2 linked regions of the Canis lupus familiaris genome follow. The protein of the gene in region 1 interacts with the protein of each later gene in a pairwise test. Links are inferred from orthologs where the notes say so. Each region holds a gene or a part of one and is shown in the gene's direction. Other genes may lie near its edges.

Region 1 (7,441 bases):
AAGGGGGCAGAGGTAGAGGGAGAAAAAGTCTTAAACAGACTCCACACTGAGTGCAAAGCCTGATGTGGGGGTTGATCTCATAACCCAGAGATCACAACCTGAGCCAACACCAAGAGTAGGATGTTTAACTGACTTTGCCACCCAGACACCTCATCCTAGGCTCGTTTTTTTAAGATTTTATTTATTTGTGAGAGAGAGAGAGTAAGAGAGCACATGAACAGAGGGGGTAGGGAAAAGCAGGCTCCCTGTTGAACAGGGAGCTCAATGTGGGGCTCGATCCCAGGACCCTAGGATCATGACCTGAGCTGAAGGTAGAGGCTTAACCAACTGAGCCACCCAGGTGCCCCAGGCTTGTTTTAATATTAACTCTTTTTCTCATATGTTGAAAATCTTGATGCCTAATGTTATTAACATCCTTATTTGCCTTATCCTTAAATATATCTATCATAGTTTCAAAATAGCAATGTCAATATTCTTTTTTTAAAAGATGTATTTATTTGAGAGAGAGAAAGAGGGCATGGTGGGGAGAGGGACAGGGAGAGAAACTCAAGCAGACTCTGTGCTGAGCACAGAGCCCAACATGGGGCTTGATCTCACCACGAGAGCCGAAACCAAGAGGCCCTGCTTAACCAACGGCACCACCCAGGGACCCCAGCAATGTCAATATTACCTATAACAAGACGAATGAGTGAAATTTAATATTTGTATGCACTTCTAGTTGTCCTTAGACTATAGCCCATTAGGGAGGTACAGTCAAAAGACTTATAAAGCCACTTGAAATTATTTTCTCTGTGTAGTTATACCATGCAGATGGCTCATTTGTTTCTAATTTTTATGGAGTGTTTTATTCTTTTTCTTGAATTTTGTTTTATAAATATGCAAAACATTTACAAGCTTCCAAAATAGTCACTATATAATAAGGTACATTCACAGAAGTCTCATTTACATGTCTACCCTCTCCATCCCACAAAGGAAACCATTTTTAGAAGACTGGAGTTTATTCTTCTGTTTAACTTTTGAATATAAGCAATTAACGTTTATTTATATCATCCCATTATTGGGTGATGTAAACACTATTATGCCCCTTGCTTATTTCACTTAACAATATATATGGACAACACTCCAGATTAGCATGTTTATTAGTATATGTAAGAAGTCTCCCACATATCTTTTTATCGTTGCATAGCACTCTATTCTGTGCATGTACTGTAATTTATTCAGCCAGTTCTTTATTGCCATGTGAGCAGCTTCCAATCTTTTACTACAAAAGTACCATAATGAACAACTTTTTGTATTTTTGCCAAAATATCACTAGGATTGATTCCTAGAAATTTAGGATTTAACCTAGGACTTGCGAGGTGAAATAGTAAATATATATGTAAAGTGGCTATGTGTGCGAAATATTCTTAATGAGTTACATCATTCTGCCTTCCCACAAGCAATGTAGGACAGTATTACCCTCAGGTGTATTCTGGTACCATAACAGAGGAGGCTTCAGAAATGAATCATAAACAAGGTTCCTTTCCCCAGGAACTCTCAAGTCTAGTAGAAGTCCTATGGGCAAACTAATAATGATATTTTGTAATAAGCAGAGGCAGATTTACCCCGAAGCTAATGAAGCTTAAGCCTGAGACCCTGCCTTACAGAGACACATTCCAAGGCCCCAGCTATGTGTTCATGGGACCGTTCTGTAATCTTTTTCTTAAAAAACACCTCAAATTTCTTAAGCTTCAGGCTCTGTATGACCTGAATCCACTTCACAATCTTTAGTCATCCTGGGGTTCCTGGGTGGCTCAGTCAGTCTGCCTTCAGCTCAGGTCATGATCCCAGGACCCTAGGATGGAGCCCCACATTTGGTTCCATGCTTAGCAAGGAATCTGCTTCTCCCTCTCCCACCTCCTCTGCTTATGTGCTCCTCTGTCAAATAATAAATAAAATCTTTTTTTAAAAAAAAAAACCTTTAGTCAGCCTATCTTAGGAGTTCCCAAATTGAATTTCAAGTCTCAGTTCTGCAGTCAGCTTGAGAAGAGGGATTCCTATAGTTAATGACCGAGACAGACAAAAGGAAAAAAAAAAAAAAAAAAAAAAAAAAAAAAAAAGCTCTTCTAACCAAAGGAGATACCACTCTCCTGATTCTGATCAATTACCCACACAAGCATTAAGGCCTTCCATAGTTTCCCTCTACTTTGAAGGGCAGAAACTAAGCCTTGGCTGGCATCAATACCCCAGCAGACAGCTGATGGAGACTGATCTATGATACTCAGGACAAAAGTCTTAATAGATGACAGAGCTGGGTGTTGTTGGGTTTTTTAGCGGGGTAATTACACCGGGAGAGTGGGTATTCAAGGCAGGTACACCGGAACACACACACACACACACACACACACACGCCCCAAACTACACAACTTTTGGTCAAATAAGGCAGCATCTGTGTCCTTCACCTGTAAAACAGGGTTAGTAATGAAGCCTACCCTGTGGGATTTGGTCAGGATTAGAAAAGCTAATTGAAAGACCTAACCCAGTCCCAGACTCTCTGGACAAGGTCCATAAATAGAGGACAGCAAATAAAAGGGGTAAGTGGCTGATCTTGAGAGCACCGACAGGGAATCTCCGCACGTGGAGCCTAACGCCGCACCGCACCGGAGAGGAACCACCACTCTACTGACAAACAGCAGGTGCAGAACTCAGTAGTGAGGAAGGGACGGACGCTTCAGGCGGACGCGTACTGGGCCGCGTGACTGACTGAACACTGGGCTGGTCCGAGTCTCTGAGCCACCGACAGTCTCGGGCCGGCTGTCAGGCGACTGCGTGCCGGGGTCTGAGGGGCCGCTGTCCGCCGGGCCGCGAGAGAACCGCTGTCTCCGCGGCCCACCCCGGCCCCCGGCCGCCCCATACCGCGGCCCGTCGCCGCGCGCCGGCTGGATCCCGACTCCCCGCGGGGGCCGCCGCCCGGCAGGGCCAGGTGCGGGCGCCGTCGTCCCTCCCGCCCCGCGCCGGGCAGGGCGCCCCCGACTCCCCGCGGCCGCGGCCCGGGAACAATGAGGCGCCGGCTTCTTTAAGGGAGATACCACCGCGCCGGCGGGGCAGGGGACGGCGTCCTCCCGGATGATCGCACCCAGTCCCGCGCCGCCGCCGCCTGGGCAACTACACCGTCCGCAAACATGGCTCAGTGACTCTGACAAAAGGTGCAGCCTCCCTCCCGGCGGGGCGGACGCCAGGCCTCCCAGCTCGGGCCGCGCCTCCCCGCGGGCCAGCCGAACAGCTCCGCGGCCCGCAGGAACCCCAGGCCCGAACCCAAGAAGATGCACCAGGCGTTCCGCCCCAGCGACCCCCGCACACCTGCCCGCAGCTCGGTAGGTGGGAAGGGGGGCGGGGAGGCAGCGGGGAGGCGCGCCGGGCGCGCGCACCCCCAGGCCCGGACCCGCTGCCGCAGACCGTCCCCCGGGGCCGCGGGCCGTGCGCGCTCGCTGCGGCTGGACGGTGACCGAGCCCCGGCGGGCAGCGGCCTCCCCGTTCCGGGCCCGGCCACCCCTGCAGGGAGGGGCACTAGTGGTGCGTTCCGGGGCGCGCACACCTTCGGCGACTCCCGGCTCCCGCGAGCCACAGGAGAGGGAGGAGGCCGGCGGAGCGCGGGGCGCGCGCCCAATAGGGACGGCGCTCGGCGTCCCGGCTCGCGCTACGGAAAGCCGGAGGGGGGCGGGGCCGCACGGCGTAAGGGGGTGTGTCCGCGCGCACCACGGGGGCGCGCGCCGGTCTCTGACTGGAGGCCGCGGCGGCTGAGGCGCGAGCTGCCCGATAATGGCGGCCTGCAGCGCCCGTGAGAGGGAGAAGCGGCGGCGGCTACCCTGAGGTAAATCTGGCCCTTAGGCCTGGCACCGAGGCCCTGCTGCAGAGCCAAGGACCCTGCATGCGCCTCCCTCCCCGGGAGGCCTGTCACAGACCTGTCAGCGGAGTCATCCTACGGAAGGCCCCGCGCTGCTCAGGCCTCCGGCCCGCACCCCTCAGGCCACCGGCGCCAGCTGCGGCCTCCTCTTCTGCCCCTGGGCTCCTCCCCAGGCCCCGGGCCTCAGCCGCCAGCCCCGAGGAGTTGGGGCCGCCGCGGGACTGGCTCCTCGGGGTGAAGGGCCTCGGGAGGATCCCCTCCGGGTTTCCTCTGGACGCCGCCGGGGAGGGGGAGGGCCTGATACTCGGCCAATGAGCGGGGCGCTGAGCCGCCGCGTCGGGCAACACCTCTGCCCGGGACTGGCCCTTCCCGGGCCGGCAGGTGTGTGGCCTGGCCCGCCGGCGGCCGTGCGCGGGCTCGGCGGGGCCCGCGGGAGGCCGGGGAAGTGCCGGCCGGCCGGCCGCGGGGGCTCGCGTCCAGGGGCTGCGTGAACGCCCCCTCCCCCTTACTCGGGTGCTCTTTCGCGCGTGGCCATGGGACAGCCTGCAGGAGACGAGCCGCTTTGAGCTGCAGAGTAATTGGCGCTCCACGGGGAGCAGGGGAGAGCGCCGTGGGTGGACCTGGGGCAAGGCGTCCGTGGCAGGGCATCGGGCGCTAGGAATTGCGGCAGGAATTTGAAGGGGGTTCCAGTTAGAGGAAGTGGGACCAAGGAAGTAATCTCAGAAGCTTTCATTTTCTTTATTAAATCCATCCTATGAACTTAAAGTAGCTGTACCCAATTTTTCAAGCTCAACAGCCAATAGCTTCTTCCCCTCCTCTCCAAACTGCACGCTGTAAAGATTGTACAATCTCTTGCCCATCGTGGCAATCTACAAATGAGAATCTGTTCCAGAAACTCGTGAGGATTTTAACATTCTTTGGAGAATGAGGTGGCACACTTCAGAATTTCTTGATTCAACTCACCAGCATTTCTGTGTCAGGCCTTTGCTTCTAAGCCTTTAAATGATTTATCAAGTTGAATTTGAAAGCACCCTGTCCAAGAGCCCCATCATATAGAGGACAGTTTTTGGTGGCAAAAATGGCCTACATCTAAATAGGTGTTTAACAACAGAAAGGTAACAATATTCTAAGTAGCTTGCTTTATTTTTAAAGGACCATTTTTTCTCCACAAACTTCATTTATTTTGCAAGAAATGAGAAATAGCAAAATTAAAATAGGGACATATACAGTTTGTTTACTTTTAAAAAAAAAACCTACATATTTTCAGTTCTATATGTAACCTGGTTCACTTTCAGTCCCTAAGCACAAGCCAGTTATATTTCTGTGAGAGGGTTTTTTTCGTTTTGACATGTTTATGAACTTTTGTGTGTGTCAGCTTTAAGGAGAAGCAGTGGAGTGCTCATCATAAGAATGATTAATTCTTTGGTTTATTTTTAACAGTAATATTTTGAAGCAGTTTGTGCAAGAGGCGGTATAGTGTAATGGTTATGGTTATGAATGTCAGAGCCAAGTGGCCAGGTTTCAAAACCCAGGTCTACCAGTTAGTAGCTGTTTGACCTTAGGCATGTTGCTTAAATTCTTCGTGATTTAGTTTTCTCAACTATAAAATGATTGTAATAACATCTATTTCATAATATTGTTTGAGGATTAAAAGTGCTTGGAACAGTTCCTGATACATGGTAATACCAAAGTGTTAGCTGCTTTATTATTATTATTCAAATATTTAGATTTGCCCATGATATAACAAATCTTTTTCAAGCATTGCAAACAGTGAGACAGATAATTAAATCATACATAAGAAGGTATACAAACCAGTAAGTATACTTAATTTCAACAGAGCACTTTGTTGATTTTCCAGAAACTTTGACCTTGAAGATGGTGAGTAGCCAGCCAAAGTACGATCTAATACGGGAGGTAGGCCGAGGCAGTTACGGTGTTGTGTATGAAGCAGTCATCAGAAAGACCTCTGCACGGGTGGCAGTGAAGAAAATTCGATGCCATGCACCTGAAAATGTTGAACTAGCCCTGCGTGAGTTCTGGGCACTAAGCAGTATCAAGAGCCAACATCCAAATGTGATTCACTTGGAGGAATGCATCCTACAAAAAGATGGGATGGTGCAAAAAATGTCCCACGGCTCTAATTCTTCCCTTTATTTACAGGTATGTATGGTTAATGGGAAATAGAAATGACTTGAACTTCACATTGGTCAGCAAGAAGAGGAACAAAAGTGTTGAGTGAACTTTTACTTTAAATACAGGTGTTTATATAGTTAGGAGTAGGTAAGGGTCTGCCAAGAACTGAGTAGATGTTTTCTTTAAAACAAGGTTTTATTTAAACCTGTGATGCAAATACCTAAAAATAACATAAGCCACCTGTTATGCCATGATACTTGCCAGTCTGCATGGGAATGGGACAACATAGGAGCTAGAGAAGTGATCGAGATTAGAGTCTAATAAATTCACCTATTTGAAATCAATTTTTTTTTTTTTTGGAACTGAAGCCAGAAGAAAAGGAAAAACTCCATAATCAGCAGCACCCATATAGATAATTGGGCATTTTAAAATAAATCTGGTTTGAATATAAGCCTCCTCTATTTTAGAGGATTGTGTGGTTTCTTAACCATGCAACTCTAGTTAATTTTCATGAAGTATATGGCATGGCACTTGAATGTTTTTTTTTTTTTTTTTTAAGATATCATTTATTTATAAGAGACATAGAGAAAAAGAGGCAGAGACATAGAGGGAGAAGCAGGCTCCATGCAGGATCCCCCATGTGGGACTCCAGGAGCATGCCCTGAGCCAAAGGCAGATGCTCAGCCGCTGAGCCACCCAGGTGTCCCAACACTAGAATGTTATTAATAGTGCTAAGAGCTAACATTTGGGTTCCTACTCAGTTCCACACTCTGCTAAGTGTTTTGTTTTTTATTTTTAAAAGATTTTATTTATTTATTCATGAGAGAGGCAGAGACATAGGCAGAATGAGAAGCAGGCTCCATGCAAGGAGCTGGATGTGGGACTCGATCCCGGAACTACGGAATCATGCCCCAAGCTGAAGCCAAACACTCAACCAATGAGCCACCCAGGTGCCCCTCTGCTAAGTATTTTAAAGGCAGCTGCTCAGAACAATCCTATGAGGATAGTACTATTATTATCATCATTATAGATGAAGAAACAGAGGCTTAGAATACATAATCTATGCAAGTCACATATACAGCAAATGGCAGAATTGGGAGCTGAATGTAGGACTGTATCTGACTGCTAAAACTTTTGTTCCCTTAACTTCCAAATTACTCTTGCTCTCAAATTACTTTTTGTAGACCTGGGGAAAGCATTAACATAGGAAAACAGAAAATGTTTGTTTGTTTAAGGTTGGCTTCTGGCATAGATCAAAATCTCTAGTAGGTCTATATTTGCTGAAGAGAAAAGATACTTAAGACATTGTTAGTTGAAGACCAGAGAAAAAATTCCAAGTCCAGTCATTCTTGGAAAAGAAACAACGTTCCATTAGTATGTCTAAATTCAGAATTTTACCCTCAAGGTTCAGAAGTATGATTTTAA
Region 2 (7,652 bases), on another chromosome or scaffold:
TAGGGCAGCCTGGGTGGCTCAGCAGTTTAGCGCCGCCTTCAGTCCAGGGCGTGATCCTGGAGACCCAGGATCGAGTCCTGTGTCAGGTTCCCTGCATGGAGCCTGCTTCTCCCTCTGCCTGTGTCTCTGCCTCTCTCTCTTTCTCTGTGTCTCTCATGAATAAATAAATCTTAAAAAAACAACAAAAACACAACCCTGGGAAGGAAGGAGGGTCCAGACAGTGGCCGGGGGACAAGCATGCATATATGTAAGTGCGTGTGAATACGTGTGAACACGTGAGCGTGAGCACGTGGGAGAGAATGAGTACCTGAGTGTGAACACACGTGGGAGCATGAGCGCATGTATGAGTGTGAGCGTGAGCGCAGAAGCGTGCACAATAGCCCCGCGTGTGTCCTCACCTGCTGCCAGAAGCAGCCCGCGGGGGATCTGCCTGAAGGGGCCCCACCTAGTCTGCAGGGCAGGTATGCAGCGGCGGGATGGGGGGGGGGGGGCGCTCACATTTATGCACTAGATAGGCTCACTGGGTGTATTTCCAGGCTGAGGGAGGCGGTCCCCAGGAGCAGAGGAGTCAGCGCCTGGAGAGAAGAGTAAGAAGCACGTGTGCTGGGGAACAACGCGCAGAGGGACCCTCGAGCAGTACATGGGGCCGAGCACAACACAGGTCACTTTTCGACCTTTACAGTTAACTGGAAAATCTAATGCTTCTGACAAAACTGCCTATTTTAAATGTTCTCACCTGTAAAAATATAATAACCAGCACTCTCCTGGATGGCGAAGCACACCTACGGTGGCTGCTGCAATTGTGGGGCGCCACCAGGAGGCCAGTCCTGGAGGGGCAGCGGCCAGCCAGGCCAGAGAACAGACTGGTGTCCCTCAGCCCTGGCAGAGGGTCGATGGGCCAGAGGACAAGCTGGCGTGCCTCAGTTCTGGCAGGGGGTGGGGGGAGTCGATGAGCCAAAGGACAGACTGGTGTCCCTCAGTCCTGGGGCGGGGTGGGGGAGAGTCGATGAGCCAGAGGACAGACTGGTGTCCCTCGGTCCTGGGGGGTGTCAATGGGCCAGAGGACAAGCTGGTATCCCTCAGTCCTGGGGGGGTAGGGCTGATGGGCCAAAGGACAGGCTGGTGTCCCTCAGTCCTGGGGGGAGGGCCAATGGGCCAGAGGACAGACTGGTGTCCCTCAGCCCTGGGGGAGGGTCGATGGGCCAGAGGACAAGCTGGCGTGCCTCAGTCCTGGGAGAGGGGAGTCAATGAGCCAGAGGACAGACTGGTGTCCCTCAGCCCTGGGGGAGGGTCGATGGGCCAGAGGACAAGCTGGTGTCCCTCAGTCCTGGGGGGGGTGCCAATGGGTCAGGGGACAGACTGGTGTCCCTCAGACCTGGGGTGGGGTGGTGATGGACCAGAGGCCAGACTAGTGTCCCTCAGTGTTGGGGGGTTCGATGAGCCAGAGGACAGAGCTGGTGTCCCTCAGTCCTGGGGTGGGGTGGCGATGGGCCAGAGGAAGAGCTGGTGTCCCTAAGCCCTGGTGGGGGAGTGAGGGGGTCAATGGGCCAGAGGACAGACAGGTGTCCCTCAGTGTTGGAAGGGGTCGATGGGCCAGAGGACAGACAGGTATCCCTCAGTGTTTGCGGAGTCGATGGGCCTGAGGACAGGCTGGTGTCCCTCAGTGTTGTAGGGGGTCGATGGGCCAGAGGACAGGCAAGTGTCCCTCAGTGTTTGAGGGGTCCATGGGCCTGAGGCCAGACTGGTGTCCCTCAGTGTTGGGAGGGGGTCGATGGACCAGAGGACAGACAGGTGTCCCTCAGTATTGGGGGCGGATGGGCCAGAGGATGGACAGGTGTCCCTCAGTGTTGGGGGGGTCGATGGGCCAGAGGACAGACAGGTGTCCCTCAGTGTTGGGGGGGGGTCGATGGACCAGAGGACAGACAGGTGTCCCTCAGTATTGGGGGCGGATGGGCCAGAGGATGGACAGGTGTCCCTCAGTGTTGGGGGGGTTGATGGGCCAGAGGATAGACAGGTGTCCCTCAGTGTTGGGGGCGGTCGATGGGCCAGAAGATGGACAGGTGTCCCTCAGGGTTGGGGAGTGGATGGGACAGAGGACAGACAGGTATCCTTCAGTGTTGGCGGGATCAATGGGCCAGAGGACAAACAGGTGTCCCTCAGTGTTGGCGGGGTCGATGGGCCAGAGGACAGACAGGAGTCCCGGATGGGCCAGAGGACACACAGGTGTCCCTCAGTCCTGGGGGAGTTGATGGGCCAGAGGACGGACAGGTATCCCTCAGTGTTGGGGGGGCCGATAGGCCAGAGAACAGACAGGTATCCCTCAGTGTTGGGCGGGGGGATGGGCCAGAAAACAGGCAGGTGTCCCTCAGTTCTGGGGAATCAATGGCCTGAGAGGGACAGGTGTCCTTCAGTCCTGGGGTTCGATGGCCCGAGGACGGAAAGGGGTCCCTCAGACCTGGGGGTTGATAGCCCAAGGACGGACAGGCGTCCCTCAGGTGGGGTCGGTCGCGAGGACGGACAGGCGCCCCTCAGCTGGGGTCGGTCGCGAGGACGGACAGGCGCCCCTCAGCTGGGGTCGGTCCCGAGGACCGCGCGGCCCTCAGTCCGCGGGGAGGCTGGCGGGCGGTGCAGCGGCGTCTCCAGGCAGCAGTCCTCGCCCTCAGCGCTGGGCCTGGGCGTCCTAGCGAGCCTGGGTTCGTCCGTCTAAACTCTGGGAGGCGTCCCTGGGCTCGTCGGGTCCCCGCGCCGCCGGGAGGCCGGGCGCTGGCCGGGGCCGCGGAGGAGCCGCCCGCCGGGTGACCCGGGAGGAAGCGCCGTCCGAGGCCGTCCGCGCCCGGGGGTAAGGGCCAGAGGCGGTCCCCGCAGCGGTCAAGCCCGGGCCGGTCGTGTAGTCCCTGCCGCCGACCTGGAGGAAGAAGCCCGCAGGGACTCGCCAGCCGGCAGCCCCCGGGCCGGGCACTCCCGCGCTGCCGCGACGCGCGGACTCCAGGGACCGGAGCCCAGAAGCCCGCCCCCCCGGAGAGCGAAGAGAGACCGCCCTCCGGCGGACAACCACTTCCCGCCTTACTCCAGACACGTGGCCGGCGCCCAAGGCGGTGCCCCTCACAAACATGGCCGCCTTTCCCCCCACCCCCATGCTGTGACCTCGGAGGCGCCCCTCACAACCATGGCCGCCGCACCCTTAAATGCTGTGAACACAGGAGCAGCCAGCAGGTGCCCTTCACAAACATGGCCGCCGCCCCTCTTAAGTCCTGTGGCCACAGCGGAAGCCCGCCGGGTGCCCCTCAAAAACCTGGCCGTCGCCCCGCCCGCTGCGCACAGCGCCGACTTTGTTGGGTCACGTGCCTGAGGACGCCGGGCTGTGATTGGCCGAGCTGCTGGTGTCGTCAGACGCCGGGGGCGCGGGCCGAGCACCGCGGGGCTGCGGCTCCTCTGAGAAGCGTTAGGTCGGGACGCGGGGTTCTGGGGCGGTGCTGGGGGCGGCAGTGCGCCGCTCACACTCATGAGGAGCCGGAAGGTGAGGGGCCTAGGCCGTGCAGGAGCTGCGCCAAGGCGGCTGGGGCTCCGGCCACCCGTTGTCTGGGAGCCGAGGAGTGGCCGCGGGACGCCCGGGGCCGAGGGGCGGCCTCTGGTCGGCACCCCCTGGGCCGTCCCCGGGGCAGGGCCTCCCAGACCTGCCGTTGGGTGGGGGAGCACCCCGGGTCACGCCCCCCCGGGTCGGGGTCTCCCGGGCCAGCCCGGGGAGGGGGGGCGGGGCGGTCCTCGGGGTCACGCGCCCCAGGTCGGGGTCGGGGTCTCCCAGGCCAGCCGGGGGAGGGGAGGGGGCGGGGCGGTCCTCGGGGTCACGTGCCCCGGGTCGGGGTCTCCCAGACCTGCCATCGGGGGGAGGGTCTTCAGGGTCACGTGCCCCGGGTCGGGGTGGGGGGGTCTCCCAGACCAGCCATCGGGGGGACGGTCCTCAGGGTCACGTACCCCGGGTCGGGGTCTCCCAGACCAGCCATCGGGGGGAGGGTCTTCAGGGTCCCGTACCCCAGGTCGGGGTCTCCCAGACCAGCCGGAGGAGTGGGGCGGGTCGGTCCTCACGGTCCCGTGCCCTGGGTCGGGGTCTCCCCTGGAACCAGCCGGGAGCCCCGAGCGCTGCCGCCGCCCCTGAAGCCACTTGGTTTTTCAGCAGGTGACCTCAGCTTGGCCCAGGAGGGTGGGAGGCGACTGACCGCGCGCCGGGCCCTGGCCCTGGGCACCTGGGCTGGGCCGGGTCCTGGGGAGGGGCGGAGTCTTTATGGGCGTCCTCATTCATTCGTTCTTAAAGATCTTATGTACTTATTTGAGAGAGAGCGCACCGAGGGAAGGGCAGAGGGAGAGAGGTTCCCCGCTGCGCAGGCCCCCCCCCCCAACACACACCCGGTTCGGGGCCTCCATCCCAGGACCCTGAGGTGCTGACCTGAGCTCTGAGCCACCAGGCGCGCCCCCACCAGTTCACGTTAAAGTCGGACCCCCGTTTTACCATTCTGTCATTTTACTTTTGTTTTCTTTAAATACGTTTGGTTTCTTCTGTTCCTTGTTTAAATGCATTAAAATGAATATTTTCTACTGTAGCATTTTAATTATTCACTTTTTTATAATATTTTTCTCCCAGCAGTTGCTCTAGGTTTTGCCATGTCCCGTAACTTAGTGGAATCAGCTTAAGTCCAGTGAGATATAAAAGTGGACCTTCCCTTTACCTCTCTTGGAGGGTTATTGTGCCTGTTCCCTCCTCCATCCTTTCCCGTTAGAAACGCGGCAGTCCTGCTCTCATGGTCTCTCCGTCTGCAGGCCATTCCTCTGCGCAGGTCGGCCGTGCCTCCACCCCATCCGCTGTGCTGTTGCTGCCAAACACAGCACCTTTATACGCCGTCAGCTGCTGCTCAAATCCGTGAAGAGAGGAAGGAGGTACTAGTGTAGGGACTTGGTGCTTGTTCTATGACCATGAACTCCCATCCCGGATCACAGAACCTCCCTGAGGATTCCTGTAAGACAGCTCTGCTGGCCGCCATTCTCTGGTACCTGGGAGTGTCTTGCTGTCATCCAGAAGGATAGCTTTCCAGATGGACGATGTTTCGTTGGCAGATTTTTTTCTTTGAGAACTTGGGATGTGTTTGACGAGACCCATTGTTTCTGCTAAGTTAACTGTTGTTTCTGCTAAGTTAACTGTTTGTCTATGCAGCTCCCTTGTAGTGAGGAGTTGTTTTCTCCCGCCGTTTTCACGATTTCTCTTGTCTTTGGCTCTCCGCAGTGTCTCTTTATGGAGCTCCTTGCATTTCTCCTACTGGGAGTTCGGTTCTTGGAGACTCCTGTTTGTTGGTGGTGGTTTTTCAATACATTTGGGAAGTCTGAGCCATTATTTCTCTGCATATGTTTTCTGCCCCTTTCCTTCCTCAGGCTCCCATTACACATATGTTGGTGCCCTTAATTGTGTCCAGTGTGTCCTCGATTCTTTTTTCTCTATCCAGTGCTTTAGCTGTGGTTTTTTTAGCTCTTGAACGTTTTTTAGCTCTTGAACGTGTTCGTAATGGGTACTTTTAAGGCTTTGTCTGATAACCTCAACCCTGGTCACTCTCACAGGCACTTCTGTTGGTGGCCTTTATTCCAGTGCAAGGGCCTGCTTTCCTGCTTTCTTGCGTGCTCCATAATTTGTAGTTGAAACTGGGCATTTCAGATAATGTAGGAATTCTGGGTTCCTGCTTCCACCCCCACTCCGTGGCTTCTTGTCAGGCTTTGTTTAGTGACCAGGCAGATTCTCCTCTTGGACTCGTCCCCCCACCCTACCCTCACCGGGCAAAGGTTGGACCTGCCCTCCAAGGCCACACTGGGCAGCCCACAGGCACACTGGGATGGAGAAAGCCAGCTTCCTCTCCTTCTCCTACCACACCTGGCTGTTAAACTCCCATTGAACGCCATTTGATTGCTCAGTTGTTTTCCACAGTAGCCTGGGGCATAAATTGCTCAGTTGACTATGTGGCCTGAAGTTGATCTTGATTCTCCGTCTAACTGTCTCTCCACAGTCTTCTGTTCTAGAGACCCGCCTTAGGCATGACCTTCTCCACACCTCTCACAAATGAAGTCAGTTCCTTGGGGAAGAGATTAAGAGTTTCTGTTTTAGTGTCTGCCTTTTCCTCAGGCATTCTCTGAATCGGCTCCGTCTGGGACAGTGACAGGCTTCACTGTATGACACTTCTGATTCTGAATGCTCTGGGAGAGGGGGTGCTGGCAGCAGCCCGAGATCCCCTCGGCTTGCTTCTCCTGGTCTGGAACCACCTCCACAAGCAAGGGCTAGGGTGATGGGGTCCCAGTCTTAGTGCTCTGCCCAGGGTGGAGCCTCTACCCACAGCTGGGGTCGGGGCAGAATGAGAAAGGCTGACATCCTGCCCCGTGTGGGAGGAAACCCTTCCGCCTGGGAGTGGGAGGGCACCTGTGTTCTCAGCACTGGCAGTCTAGAGTTCAAATACCACTGAGTTATAGGAGGTCTTGAGTGATTGTTCATCTGCTCTTTGCCCACAGGACCATCTCCAAAAGTCTTCAATGATTTTTCATCCTTCTTGCCAGTTTTATGGGGGGTCAACAGGGCTCTTCATGCTGTCCTGTTGGACATCAATCTTGTCCTGCCCTTTGGGAAGCCACATTTTTGCCTTTGACATCCCACTTTTTAAGCAGTCTGCTTGGAAGGCAGAAGACCTCAACAATGAGAAGTTTCTCATTTGGGGATTAAGTGGAAGCAACCAGCTCTCAGAGACAAGAAACTGCTCCATCCTTAACCAAGAGTGGGAGCTTGTACCTTGGGGGAGGAGGCAGCTGTGACTGCTTTCAAGCCAGCAAGCTGCCAGACTTGACTGCAGCTCTCACGTGGATGGCAGGTGGTACCCAGAACAACCACAGCCCCTGAGTGTCCACCCGGAGCCCCCAAGTTTGCCTCTTCAAGGGGGCCTGGAAAGTCAAAGGTGAACAAGCCCCCTCGGGGAGCCTAGTGCACCCCCGGGTTACAGTCCCTGCCTCGGGGACAAAGAGGGAAGGATAAGAGCCAGGACAGCCACTCCCCTGCCCAGCCCGTGCGGAGTAGCCAAGCAGCTGCATGCTGGCAGCTCTTAGAGCTCATAGATGGGAGAGCCCTGTGACATGATGCAGGGCAAGAAGGACTTTGAGGCCACATGTCACTTGGGTCACCTCAAACAGGCTCCTCACTGGAGCCATCTTCACTCTAAAGTGAGAAGGCTGCTTTGGAAGCTATTCAAGCACAGCGCCTGCTCTGTCAGTCCTCTGTCAGACCTCAGTGACACTGGGAGCTGTAGTCAGGGCCAGTCCCGCACCCCCAGCTAAGCAGTCACATGGGACAGTGTTGGGAGTAGGACTTAGAACAGGGAAGAGAAGACAGGTGGTGGCCTGGGGCTAACGTGGCCACTCCCTCCTTGGAGGGGAAAGGGCTGCAGGAGGTGTGCTGATACAGGGCAGGGAGGAGGACACCTCCGGCATCTCTGCAGGCTCTGCTCCCTGCACATGACTGACCCCACTGCTGCCGGGCTTCAGCAGACCCTGCTCTTGATACGACGTGGGCCCAGACCCAGGTGCACACACCCAGAGGCCCTTTACCTGGCCTGGAGCACCTTGTCCCCACTGTGCAC

What was found.
Region 2: the proteins of PDIK1L (region 1) and C5H1orf174 interact in binary tests that used the Homo sapiens proteins (3 or more experiments, as listed by UniProt). The two-hybrid records come from large-scale screens. The link is inferred for Canis lupus familiaris from reciprocal best matches to the Homo sapiens genes PDIK1L and C1orf174.

What each region holds. Positions count from the first base shown.
Region 1 is NC_049223.1:73,255,188-73,262,628, reverse strand, and holds the start of PDIK1L (serine/threonine-protein kinase PDIK1L), read left to right. Parts: upstream 1-3,106; 5' UTR 3,107-3,353; intron 3,354-3,711; exon of another isoform or gene 3,712-3,850; intron 3,851-3,941; exon of another isoform or gene 3,942-4,135; intron 4,136-5,741; 5' UTR 5,742-5,758; coding exon 5,759-6,043; intron 6,044-7,441.
Region 2 is NC_049226.1:58,836,517-58,844,168, reverse strand, and holds the start of C5H1orf174 (UPF0688 protein C1orf174 homolog), read left to right. Parts: upstream 1-3,362; 5' UTR 3,363-3,502; coding exon 3,503-3,517; intron 3,518-7,652.